3 linked regions of the Nothobranchius furzeri genome follow. The protein of the gene in region 2 purifies or fractionates together with the protein of the main gene of each other region. This does not show direct contact. Links are inferred from orthologs where the notes say so. Each region holds a gene or a part of one and is shown on either strand. Other genes may lie near its edges.

Evidence for each region.
Region 1: the proteins of gtpbp4 (region 2) and mrto4 purify together in Homo sapiens (affinity purification with mass spectrometry; 3 studies listed by BioGRID and IntAct, counting the BioPlex papers as one, with this or other methods). This does not show direct contact. The link is inferred for Nothobranchius furzeri from reciprocal best matches to the Homo sapiens genes GTPBP4 and MRTO4.
Region 3: the proteins of gtpbp4 (region 2) and nsa2 purify together in Homo sapiens (affinity purification with mass spectrometry; 3 studies listed by BioGRID and IntAct, counting the BioPlex papers as one, with this or other methods). This does not show direct contact. The link is inferred for Nothobranchius furzeri from reciprocal best matches to the Homo sapiens genes GTPBP4 and NSA2.

The regions. Positions count from the first base shown.
Region 1 is NC_091743.1:63,496,625-63,501,001, reverse strand, and holds the start of mrto4 (mRNA turnover protein 4 homolog), read right to left. Parts: upstream 2,902-4,377; 5' UTR 2,900-2,901; coding exon of another isoform or gene 2,839-2,899; 5' UTR 2,824-2,838; intron 1-2,823. Other genes in the region: iffo2b (intermediate filament family orphan 2), read left to right, coding at 2,839-2,899. UniProt on the Homo sapiens protein: Component of the ribosome assembly machinery. Nuclear paralog of the ribosomal protein P0, it binds pre-60S subunits at an early stage of assembly in the nucleolus, and is replaced by P0 in cytoplasmic pre-60S subunits and mature 80S ribosomes.
Region 2 is NC_091751.1:36,527,197-36,531,629, reverse strand, and holds the start of gtpbp4 (GTP-binding protein 4), read left to right. Parts: upstream 1-1,433; 5' UTR 1,434-1,531; coding exon 1,532-1,579; intron 1,580-2,156; coding exon 2,157-2,327; intron 2,328-2,412; coding exon 2,413-2,516; intron 2,517-2,847; coding exon 2,848-2,984; intron 2,985-3,075; coding exon 3,076-3,176; intron 3,177-3,311; coding exon 3,312-3,404; intron 3,405-4,433. UniProt on the Homo sapiens protein: Involved in the biogenesis of the 60S ribosomal subunit. Acts as a TP53 repressor, preventing TP53 stabilization and cell cycle arrest.
Region 3 is NC_091746.1:69,313,616-69,317,939, forward strand, and holds nsa2 (ribosome biogenesis protein NSA2 homolog), read right to left. Parts: upstream 2,753-4,324; 5' UTR 2,599-2,752; coding exon 2,596-2,598; intron 2,189-2,595; coding exon 2,001-2,188; intron 1,921-2,000; coding exon 1,770-1,920; intron 1,649-1,769; coding exon 1,469-1,648; intron 1,335-1,468; coding exon 1,142-1,334; intron 1,028-1,141; coding exon 960-1,027; 3' UTR 771-959; downstream 1-770. Other genes in the region: gfm2 (ribosome-releasing factor 2, mitochondrial), read left to right, coding at 3,161-3,202, 3,283-3,352, 3,525-3,570. UniProt on the Homo sapiens protein: Involved in the biogenesis of the 60S ribosomal subunit. May play a part in the quality control of pre-60S particles.

The sequences.
Region 1 (4,377 bases), on a different chromosome or scaffold from region 2:
ACTCTGCCCGAGTCCTGCGGCAGACCGGCTGAGTGTTGTGGACACAGTGAAGCACCAATGCCAGCCTTTTTTTTTAGGTTTCAGAGTGAGCTGGCAGACTCTGCATAGGAATACTTCCCTCTAAGTAGACAGGGAGTATTCAGCAGAGTTTAGCTGGGAAAGCGACGTACAGTATGTTCTAATTCATGGCCAGCCATGCTGACAGCCAGCTTCAGATAACCTTATGTCTGCCTGTCAGTGAACTTTTGTGATCTGGCATGCAGACGTCCTCCCATTGCCTCACCCAGAAACCCCCTTTTTCCTATATTAATCCTGCTCCGTATGGCCCACAGTGACTCATCCTCCACATGGGTGTCTGAACCTGCCGTCACTTCTTAATGAGTTTCTTCTTCGTTCTGCACGTCCAACCATCTTTTGGGAGGCATGTTTGACTCAGCATTTCTGTTTTTATATCCCACTTTAAAAAAGTCCCGACTGAAGCACCAAGCTAAAGCCTCTGGGTTTCTGTGTGGAATACAAATTGCAAAAATGATTATAGCTGGTGTGCTGCGTAATATTGAAATGACAAAAGGAGAATCTAAGTAGCTAATTGGAGGGTCTGGTGTTTTATTTTTAGCAACACTGGGTCTGAACTCTGTGACTCAGTTGGTGGGGTTGTTTTATTGCATGTGGAGTGATTGTCATCAGATACCGTAGAGACAGCAATGCTCCACAGGGGAGGACTTCTGCGATCATCGTAACGCTGGCATGTTGGTTTGAATAAAACGCTGGGATTGAATTAGCTGATTACTTCAAGGTGAAATGCATTTTGTGGTTCCTTAAAGATCCATCTGTGGGTTTTAAACTGATATAAACTGATATACGTTTATATTGTATATCAGTTATCATATACGGTTTATATACGTATACCAATTTAGGCCTTGACCCCCCCTTCTATAAAGAAAATAAGCTAATCTAAATCATCTTAGGTACCTAACATCAAATATCTCCTGAACTTAAACTTTACCTTTGGAAACTATGACAATTATTTCAGTGTAAGTTTGGCCAGTTGCACCAAACAAACAAAAATGTCTCAAAAACATTGCCTCGGATCAGACGTGTTTCGACATTTTGAACGAAAAAAAGAGTTTGATGTGTAATATGTGCATGGTATGTAAAGGCTGTGTCATTTGAACCTGTACAAATGTCATAGACGTTTGTTTAAATATGTATATAGGGTCTATTTTATGTCTTCTATATTAATTTTGCAGTAAGAGCTTTGTATAACTTAAATTTATCATTCATCTGATAATAAATGGTTTATTTCTGTTTTGTTCCTGAAAAAGTAAAAACCAGAACTGATAATTTTCAATTGCATATTTTAATGTCTTTTGATTAGGAAGTTTTAGGCTTGAAGTAATTTGGTAATTACATAGTAAAAATATATATTTTTTAAAGGTCTTACTTAAAGCTAGGGTATGTGAAAGAAAATATCAATACACTGAAATAACAGTATAACTGTTGGCAGTTTTTATCGCCTTCTTGTGATGAAATGAGATTTAGCGATGACACTGGATGTGTACTGTCAAATTGAGCTGAACGACGATCTACTGTTTCCCCATCAAAGTTGTGGTGTCAACCAACGTGCTCACCAAAGCTGCCTTGCCATGATCCTGACTGACCCAGGATCTGTTGTGTATTTTACAAATCAGAAATTTCCTCTTGGTTTTAAAAGTGTTACGGCGTTAGCAGTGAGCGGGCGGGGGGTTAGTAGTGCATCATATCACCAGATTCTTGTCTATACACACCCCTACTTAAAACATAATTATAATCCTTTGACAATATTTTGGGGATTCACGTTTTCAAAAACAAATATGTAAAAAGTCTCATTTTGCACTAAAGCTGATTTAAAAACAGAACACTTGAGTAAATAGCTGTTGCACTGTATTGGGTCTCATGACGGTTCCATAGCGTGTGAGTCTAGTTGTTACATAATGCATTGTTATCAAAAAACTCGTTGTCATTGGAGACACACACTCCAGACTAAACAAAAGAGAAATCTACCACAGCTTACTTAATGCAAAAAAACTAAATTTGCTGCAATCAAAAATAATTATAGATAATTTAAAAAAACATTCTCTAATTTTGTTACTAACTATTGATCCCTGACAACATAAACTTTCCAGTTGCAGGAAATGAATAAGTTTTCACCCCACAGTAAAAAGGTTGAATGTTCTCCCTGTGCATGTGTGGATTTTCCCCGCTTACTCCAGTTTCCTCTCAGACCAATGCTTGTTCGGTTAATTGAAGACTCTATTTTGATCACAGCTGCTTACGATTAGCATTTAGCGGAAATCCTGAACGAAACCTCACAGAGACGCATGTTCCTTTTTCTGTTTCACACAAATCTGCTTTGCCATGAATTTGAGCCATTGGTTATTTAGTTCTCTGTTATTTCACATCATTATCATAATAAGTGACTCCAGTTTGGACACATTTCAGGCTCTTCTATTAATGTTGAACTGTTGCAAATGAGAATTACATCTCCTCAGACCTGAAGGAATTCAGTCTGTGGTAGTGAATCTCCACCCTATACTTACTCATTCAAAAGCCTTTTCATGAGCAATGTTTGTTTGTGCTTGTAAAAGACCAGCCATCCATTCGTCCCTGTAGTTTTTATTTAACTGCTGAAGACAAAAGAGTGAAAACAGAGGAAGGGAGCAGGGGTGACACCACACTGTCAAGAGAGCCTTGTAATTGGAGATGGGAGTATCATTCCACGAAAGGACCATGAACCCATATGAGAGGTCTTTGGGGAAGAGGACCCAGTGCTAACTGACCCACCTTTGTGTGTTGCAGATGGGAGGAGGAGCTGTCCAAACGAGAGCAGCTGGAGTCCACGGTGGAATCCCTGCAGCAGGTCTGGAAACATAAACAATAAAACATCCTGCTAACACGAACATACACAAATATTTGACCTCTCGCCAAAGAAAACTAAAAATAAGTAAATTGTGATCGTGTACACAATAAAAGCATGGACTGAGCAGGGCCGGAGTGCATATCACATTAGAATAACCTGATTACAAACCCATCGGAAGAGGCTGCAGAACAAGATACAATGTAGATGTGAACATCTGATCTCACCAGCGGTCTGCCATGTTTCTGCCGGAGCAGGTGGAGGCAAATACAATAAAATAAAACTGCACCAGAGCAAAAACCCTTTTCTGTTTCTGCTTCTGCACAGATTGATTTGTAACAGTGTGTGTGTGTGTGTGTGAGACTGTCCTGGACTCTGGGTAAGCAAAAGGCTCGATAGCATGGCGGGGAGGGGGAGCCGCCCTCCCTCATGGGGGCTTTATTTTTACAGATTACACAACTGATGTACAGGAAAGGTAGAAAAGTGTTGCAAGTAAATTTAGTGCAAACCAACATTTATTAGAAGATGGCCTGGCACTTTATTACAGCGTTTGACCTTAAAACCATTCCCTCAAACACATTTTACTTAGAAATTTGAAAAGGTCTAAACATTCAAGCTCCCTTTAAAGCAGGTGGTGGCGGTCTTGGTCCTCGAGGGCTGTCCAGCAGGTTTCAGTTGTTTCTCTGCTTAAACACACCAGATTCGATCTGCTGGTGATTAACAGAAAAACGCTTCTGCAACGCAGACAACCTCACCAGGGAGACATCCTAAATAGATGCCCGTGCCACCTCAACTGGCTCCTCTCGATGTGGAGGAGCAGCCACTCCCGGATGGCTGAGCTTATTGCCCAGCCTCTAAGGGAGAACCCAGCCACCCTGCGGAGAAAACTAATTTCGGCCGCTTGTATGCACGATCTCGTTCTTTCAGTCACTACCCAAAGCTTGTGACCATAGGTGAGGGTAGGAACGTATATCAACCGGTAAATTGAGAACTTCACCTTCCAGCTCAGCTCTCTCTTCACAACGACAGATCGATACAACGCCCGTATCACTGTAGTCGCAGCACCAATCTGCCTATCGAGCTCCTTATCCAGCTTTCCATCACTCGTGAACAAGACGCCGAGATACTTAAACTCCTCCACTTGAGGCAGGACTTCAATCCTGACCCGGAGAAGGCATTCTACCTTTTTCCAACTCAAGACCATGGTCTCGGATTTAGAGGAGCTGATTCTCATCCCAGCTGCTTCACACTCGACTGCAAACCGCTCCAGTGAAAGCCGAAGATCACGTTCTGATGAAGCCAACAGGACCACATCATCTGCAAAAAGCAGAGACCTGATCCTCAGGCCACCAAAACGGATGCCCTCAACACCTTGGCTGCGCCTAGAAATCCTGTCCATAAAGGTTATGAACAGAATCGGTGACAAAGGGCAGCCTTGGCGGAGTCCAACTCTCACTGGGAACGAGCTCGACTTACTGGCG
Region 2 (4,433 bases):
GTTGATTTTTACAAATTATTTTATTACAGGTTTGTATTATTTTGCAAATTATTTTCTTTTCAATTACTTGTTCATAGTAGTGACTCATTTATTACAGAGTGCAGATGTCATAATTCCTTCATTATTTTCTATTTTATTTATTAGTTTTATAAAATGTATTATTAATTATTTGTACACCCAAATAATTCAGCAACATTGTGCTTTTGTCCAAATCATATTTCTTCTACCTCTCTTCTCACCCCCATTTAAAATACAAAACACAAAGAAGAAAGAGGACAGAGTAAACAAAGACAATTATCATAGTACAATTTATTTCTGAGTGGACACAAAACTCAATAATTCATTGCAGTCAGTAGTTTCTGATCAATGTGCCTGCCTCTGAATACTTAGATTGTTTAAGTCTGTTTTGATTGCTTGTAGATATTGTACATGAGAACAGTCATTTGTCTTTATGTCTAACTGATTTATCTTTTTTTATTCTTGTTTGTTTGATCTTATCTGCTTTTCTTTTGTGTAAAGCAAATTGTCTGTCTGTTGCTGCTGCCTCTTGGTTAGATCGTCGTTGCAAATGAGAATGAGTTAAATCATCTGGTTAAATAAAAAATAAATAAAATATACCACATCCCAGTTTTGTTGAACTTCTTCGTGGTAAACCCCCAGCTGTTGGAGTGAGACCTCCTTAAAATTTGGGATGTCTTTGGTGCAGCTGTCAGGGGGCTCGACCCTCCGCCCCTTCGTCTTCGTTCTTGCAGTGTGCTCCCCTGATTGGTCCAAACTGCACGCGAACCTCACTCGTGATCAAGGAGTGTAGGCGTGGCCTTGAAACACCACTGCACTCCGATTGGTTGTTTGGTGATTAGCGCGGGTCACAACAAATATGTTGCGCCCCCATAGACATGTTTTCATCGATGGTTTTCATGTAAATTGTACCTCCGTCCCCTTCCATGTAAAAATAAAAATGTACACATTGTGAACGCAATGAAGTAAAAGTGAAGGTGTCCACATAAAGATTAGAATAAAACACTTAAAAATATTGAAATACCTAGGAGAAGGTTGAGTTTCTACATTTTAAATTAACCAGAATTTATTTGTATGCAACAAAGTTCAGCTGAGAATTTTTCCAGTTAAGTTACTAAGTGCACTAAGGTTGGTTGAATGTTTAAATAGACTTTTAATAGACGTGTTATATTCTAAAAGTATATTGGCATAGGCTTTCAAAAATATTTTACTTGAGCACAGCTAATTTTAGCTGACTTTAGTATGAGTGTTTTGTCTTAAATAGTACCAGGAAGTATAAAATCAAATAAAAAATCATATGATGCCATTAGAAGTTGCGTATCAGCTGTTTATTTTAGAGTTCAGCCCTTTTTTAATGTTTGGGGGATGTTTACATGTTTCTAATTGCTGTGTGCACTTATGGCCGCTAGAGGGCGCCGAGCAGAAAAGTTTCCAGTTTCTGCTGGTGGTCTCAGACTGACTCGTTTCCGGTTCCTCTCCGTGCCGTCGGTGGCCCTAAACGTGTCCTGACAAAATGGCACTTTATAACTTTAAAAAGATTATGGTGGTTCCTACCGCCAAGGTGAGTTTTATTCCACGATTTCCGCTTTTTCAACTCGGCTTTGACCATGCTCTCGCGGTTAGAAACGACCGTTGGTTGATAGAAATGAAAACAGTTAAATGGAACGAAAACACGTGGGACAGCAACAGATCATTGGATGAAAATCTGCGAGAACAGTAGATTTTTACCTTAAAACGAATAGGACACGATTTATTAAACTAAACGAGGTTTTCCTGCGTGTTTACGTAATGTCTGGGATGATTACACCACTGTTTGAAAAGTAACGAGCTCCTCAATTTTTTGTTTTAGCTAGTAGCTACCAGTAGTCGTAAATAAAATCTAACTCTGCTTTTTAATCAGATGTTTGTAATTTTAAGCGTTTCAGTTGCTTAAAATGTGTTCTAAAAGCCCAATCCAAAGTAAAGAAGATCATATAATAAAACGTTTCAGTTTGAAGTGTTTTTGAAAAATGACTTGATAAACATTGTTTTCTGTCAGCCAGAGGCTTGGCTGAACCTTGCAGGATAACAGAATGTCTTAGAGAAAAACTGTCTTTGTGGTCTCAGGTTATTAACCAGTGCACTCTTCATGTCTGCAGGAATTCATCGACATCACTTTATCCAAAACACAAAGGAAGACGCCCACGGTGGTCCACAAACATTACCAGATCCACCGCATCCGACACTTCTACATGCGGAAAGTAAAGTTTACCCAGCAGAACTATCACGACCGGCTCACGCAAATCCTCACAGACTTCCCAAAACTCGACGTAGGTCACCGCCCTTTACTCATCTGGAGGCTGATTGTCTGATTTCTGGGATTTGTTTGTGAATTTGGTCTGTGTGTCTCTCCAGGACATCCATCCTTTTTATGCTGATCTGATGAACGTGTTGTATGACAAGGATCACTACAAGCTGGCCTTAGGACAGATTAACATCGCCAGAAACTTGATTGATAAGTAAGTTTGGACTTCAGAGAATGTGAACATGCATCATGCAGTTTACAACACCCTGTTTGGGTTATTGACATATAAGCAATCCTGAGGTTTCGACATGAATCAAACACAAAATTAATCAGACAGTTTAAGTTTAACCTCTGTCCCTGTGGGGTTGGTGAGGTGTTCAGGTTTTTTCTGCTTTGCTAAAGATTTTTAAATTCTGTAAGAACACATAAACCTACAGAGAAGACCATTTAGGCAGTAGAGTTCTGCTGTTAAACAACCAGTGATTCTAACAACAGAACCCAAAATTTCTACAAACAAGTGATTTTTGTTTTTTATAACCTTCCAGCGTGGCGAAAGACTACGTGCGCTTGATGAAATATGGAGATTCTTTGTATCGGTGTAAGCAGCTGAAGAGAGCTGCTTTGGGCCGAATGTGCACCATCCTGAAACGACAGAAATCCAGTCTGGAGTATCTGGAGCAAGGTGATGAGTTGTTAGTGGGAAAACTTTGTGATTAAACATCAGTTTCTGCTGCAGATTCCTGTGGTTTAAATCTGACTTCCTGCTCCTACAGTTCGTCAGCACCTGTCCCGTCTGCCGAGCATCGACCCGAACACCAGGACCCTGCTTCTGTGTGGTTACCCCAATGTGGGCAAATCCAGTTTCATCAACAAGGTCAGCTACAGAGATCATTTTTTCATAATTAATGTTGACTGAGACCAGCTTTCCAAGCATGGTACTAACTAATGTATTAAATCAGCCTGGTTTCCCTTCTTCATTAAAGAAAATGTGAAATGTTCACCTCACTAGGTCACCAGGGCAGACGTTGATGTCCAGCCGTATGCTTTCACCACAAAGTCTCTGTTTGTGGGTCACATGGACTACAGGTACCTCCGCTGGCAGGTGAGATTCTGCTGCTATTTTACTGCATTCATGAACTCTGGTGAACCTGAAATATTTGAAGAAGGTTTATTGTTTTCTGTTTTCTGTTCAGAGTAACTTAAAGAGCAAGTCAGCCTCAAATCAACTTTTTTTTTTTTGCTGATAAATACCGTTAATCCTCTAATACAGGCCTGGGCCTGTATTTGACCCAAGCTCACCAAGCTCCAGGCCTTTATTGGAAGGAGGACCAGAATTAGAGACAGGCCTCAATTTCTATTTGAGCAAAATGAACTAATGGTTCGCTGGAGTTTTTGACAATTAAAATTGCGCCCACGTTTTCAAAGTTAAACACATTTCTTTTAACAACGGTAGTTTCTGCTTCAGCCCCCTCCCCCTGCGCAGCGGCTGCAAACTCACTGATGAGCCTGCAGCCTCTCGGAGTTCCTGCTGCTCTAAACATTAAAATAATTATTTCATTTTCTGTTCCTCACTTCTGATTACCGTCAATGGTGTCTGTTTGTTGCAACCACCAGGTACAAAAACTAACTTGTTTTTATTTGACTATTTTTCTGTCCTGCCTGTTTATTATCTTCCTGCATCTCCTCTCAATCCTAAAGAAAAACTGCTACCTGGCTTCATATATATTCATCTTATGAGTTACCTTTGAACTGCAGTTCTAAAAGATTTACCGACCGCAAAAACAGCGGAGTGCGCGCTGCTTGCCGGCCACATCAGTTAGGTGAGTCACCGGAGGACAAAACAGGTGATGCACCCCGATCCACAGCAGCGAAACGCATCAGGCACAAATAAAATAATTTAAAAAACAAAAAACATAAAAGGAAATGAGCCAACATGAACGATCGCGTGTTAAATTAGTTTTTGAGGTGGCAACACCTGATTTGATAATGTAACTGTGGCCGTGCTCAGGACGCAGATGTCTGGAGCGTGTCAACAATCAGAGCTTTGCATGCGCAAGCTGGTTAAGGTTAGGATGGGGTGAGGGGAAGGTTAAATTGCAAGAGGGTAAATGTCACAATTTGGTTAAATGTC
Region 3 (4,324 bases), on a different chromosome or scaffold from region 2:
TGTTTATTCATTTAGCAGACGCTTTTATCCAAAGTGACTTATAATTTATAACCTATAGGGCATGTTGTGATCTGTGGGGGAAACCGGAGGAAACCCACGCAGGCATGGGGAGAACACGCAACTCCACGCAGAAAGGCCGCAGCCGCGTTTTAGTTAAAATTTTCTGCCTAAAACTGATGGTGTTGTGTCGTCGGGTAAAAACTGCACTGCAGTTGAATATAAGTCTGCCATTGCTATTGGCTAAGAGGTACTCTAGAATGTTAGCTGGTACAATATGATGTCACAATGTCGTTATGAGCCTGTGTATTTGTTAGCGGCACGGTCTGCCAGGCAACAGCATTTGTTGCATTTTTCAAACAGGAAGTGGGAGTGGAGTAAGACTTTGGTAGGGGGTGACTTGCTCTTTAAGTCAATTTTTAAATAAAAACATAGAAGGAACTGAAAATAAGTAACTTTAATCCAAGGCCTATTCATGTAACAATTTAGAAGAGCACCTAATGAAAAGTTACCTATTCTTTATGCAGCTCTACAAATCAGCACTACATTCAAACAAATTATAATCAATTCTGTAATTTGTATTTGTTTATCTCTTATTTTCAATCTCTTTCTGCACCAACTACCACGGCAATCTCTTGCACAAATGGCAATAAAACCTTCTGATTAACCAATTTAATTCAGATTAACGACTAGTTAATATCACCCTGATGTGATTTTATTATTTCTGCATCAATCTCAGAAAATGTTTGCAAGTAAAATAAGTCTGGAAAACATTTGCTTTCATTCCAAGTTTATTTGTATCAAACAATTATTTCCTTTCCTGTAGCTGTGTCCTTTTTTGTTGTAAAAAAACCTCCAACCACCTCTTCTGAGGTCTTCCAGTCTTGTGAACATAAGTCTGCTGATTGTTGTATCTGAGATTTAATGGAAGATCTGAACAGTCAGCAGCCAGGTGGAGAGTCTTATACCAACAGAACTGCGTTTATACAGCCGTCATTTTCTGGGTTATTTGTCACCTGGGCGTATTTACCTGAGAAGCACATAAGATTAATTTAGATTTTACAGGCTTTTTAAAAACAAAGGTTTAAACGATGTCTAATAGATGTCATAATGACACTGAACAAAAAAAAAAAAAAGAGCTCACCCCAGATAACTTTTCCACCTTGTGTTACCAGGCCCAGCTCACTGACGTTGACCTCTATCACTGTTCCCTTTGTGATGACTCCCAGAGAGGTGTAGAGGGGGGAGGAAGGATTCTTCTTCACCCCGAGGATGGGGAGGCAGAATGTTGCTTTCAATTCTGGATGTGTTACATGAGCCTTCTTAAAACGTAATCCCTAAAAATAACAACATGGTCATTTAACAATTGGGCACAGAGTTTACAGCAATATACGACAATTAAATTTGACATAAAAACCATGAGAAACAGGGCTGTAAATGGTTCAGGACTTGAGCCACACAGTGATCCTACCATAGGTCTGATGAAACGTTCATACTTTGGGGGTTTTCGTGTGAAACCGTCACCGACAAAGCAAACTTTTGTGACCATCCTCTTCCAGGCCTTCTTTTGTCTCTTTCCGGTTTTGATAACTTTAAGCACCTCTGTCTCTCCTTGAGCACGAACCTTTGGCAGAGGCACCTCCCACTTACCCTACACAGAAATAAAGATGTTTGTTTACACAGTACAGTTATAATCATTTCAAACCCTCTATCAAGAAACTGAAAGATATTATTTCACTGAGGAACGTCACTGACAGCCAGCTTTTACTTACAGCCTTCTCTTTTCGCTTCTGTTTGATCATGTTGGAGAGAACCTTTGCACGAGACTGTCCCTCTCTGTCCAACAGGTAAGCTGGAACTGCACCTTTAGGTGTTTTGTCGTCATTCTTCTGCTTGGTGTTCCTCTGTTCGTGCATTTTGATGCTGAAAACAAACACATCAAGTTTATTTACAAGCGTATATGACAGGTAACGCTGAAGCCATTCATATGCCGCCAGACTCACGTCTTCTTCATCTGGATCTTCTCAGCATATCTTTGTTTGTGGTACAGTTTGGCCTTGAGACCAATCATCTTCCTGGCTTTGTGGGAGCGTTCATGAGCTTCTCGGCTCTCCTTCTTCCTTTTCTTCTCGTGGTGGTCCAGGCGATAGCCATGCCGCTTGCGGTGCAACTCAATGTGCTCGTTCTGAGGCTACAAAACAATAATATAGACATACGGGGGAGCTAGATTTGAGTTTTTGACCTTTAAACAAATACACTCTGCTTTATATTTGATATCTTCATCAAATACATTATTTTATCCCATCTAATTTAACGTAACTTTTCTAAATACAATTACTCGATGTATTTAAATGAGGAACACTCCTGACAGGGCAGTCAAAGGTCACTTGAACATCATAGTTAATTTGACATAACCAACAATGTAGCATACATACTCACACATTTATTTTATATTAAACTGAGCTAAATGTGTTAGGAAACGGAATAAATTCAGACTAGCAGATGGACTCAACACATGCGGACCCAAGCTAATTCTGCTAGCATGCTAAACAGCTCACAGAAGCTACAACGTACATTTTAAATGATTAATTTTCTCACCATTTTGTGTTCAAGGTGCTACGCTTAACAGAAAATACGGTATAGGTGGTTCAAGATGACGAAAACACAACTTATTTGGTGTTTTATGCTTCTGGCTGGGGCTTCTCTGATGTTGTTTTCCCCGAGCCGATACTTAGAGGAAGTGCGTCATCAAATTGCAACAGTTTTTTCCGCCGTCATTATCCGGTCCGCTGAAACAAAAAGCGATAAGTGGCGATTTTTAAAATAAGTGGTAGTTTTTCAATATTAAGTATTCATAGAAATATTATCAATTTACGTACGTGCTTATGGGGATTTTAAACCCGCGAATATAAATTAATTACATTTTTGTTTGCATGCGGAACTATAAATGTCATAGGCTAAAGGATCCAGAGGATGTATTTTGTGGTAGTAGCTGTAAGCGTGACTTTTGACTGGGTTTCAAGAATGTTTCTGTTCATAAGGATATTGTGACTTAAAAATTCAAAGTGCCGTTCAATATTTTAGTTGGTTGGTAACCAATGAGACATTTCTTCATTCAAATGCAGCTGGTGTGTGACGTAAAGGAGCTTTTATAACAGTAGAAATGTCTGTCAGAGCCTTACAGACGGTCAACAGAATTGTTTGGGTAAGATGTTTTATGTATTTATTTATTTGAATGCATGCTACCATAGACTGGTTGTGTTATTGACAGTATTCTGTCTACAGGGACGGCATTTATTAACTGCTGGACATCAGAGCTGCAGCTGCAGGTTGAGACACTATGACTTTCATCAAGGTATGTATCATATATGAACACACACACACATATATATATGCATAATCGTGTATTATAAGTTTATTTGTCACTAAAGTTCAATAATAGAGACCAACATGACTTGATGTGGTTCTTTCATTAAGGAAATAATGTGTTGCATCACTATATCTCAACTTTCTGCTCACTCTTGCAGATGATATCAAATCAGTGCGAACCGTGGTCAACCCTGATGTATCCAAGTAAGTTACAACAGTAGGAAACTAGATTACTACAACAGCTGTGACAAAGTATTTGATCCTTGACTGTTTTCTTCGGGTGTTACTTTTTTGTAGGACTTGAATGTTTATGTTTATTTATTTAGCAGACGCTTTTATCCAAAGCGACTTACAATTTATAACCTATAGGGCATGTTGTGATCTGTGGGGGAAACCGGAGTACCCGGAGGAAACCCACGCATGCATGGGGAGAACAAGCAACTCCACGCAGAAAGGCCGCAGCCGAGCCGAGTTTCGAACCTGCAACCTTCGTGCTGCGAGGCAACAGTGCTAACCACTGCGCCACCATGCAGCCCACAAAGTGTCTGAAATGTCATATCCCAACCGCCCCCTCTCTTTGTTTACTGGGAAACCTGGATGATGTCCTGTTTGAAACATCTTTGGCTCACGTGGTTCATATGCATCGCTAAGAAAACTATCCTCTTGAATTGGAAAAATAGAGAAAGTCTCTGCATCAACCAGTATAGAAATCTTTTGTTAGATCATATTACACTTGGTTTAGCCTCTGCTTCCACTTCAAATCAATCTCTCTGGGCTCCTTTTATCGGTTCCATCACATAGCGGTGATGGTGGACCATTGATATTGTCCTGCGAGATGATATGGGTGGGGGTCGGAGGGTCTGGGGGGCTGTTGCCCCCCTCTGGAGGTGCTTGGGTTGCCTCAGGGGGTGGACTACTGGCAGTTGTGAGTGGGGCCCCTTGGGGGTCTTGGCGGTGG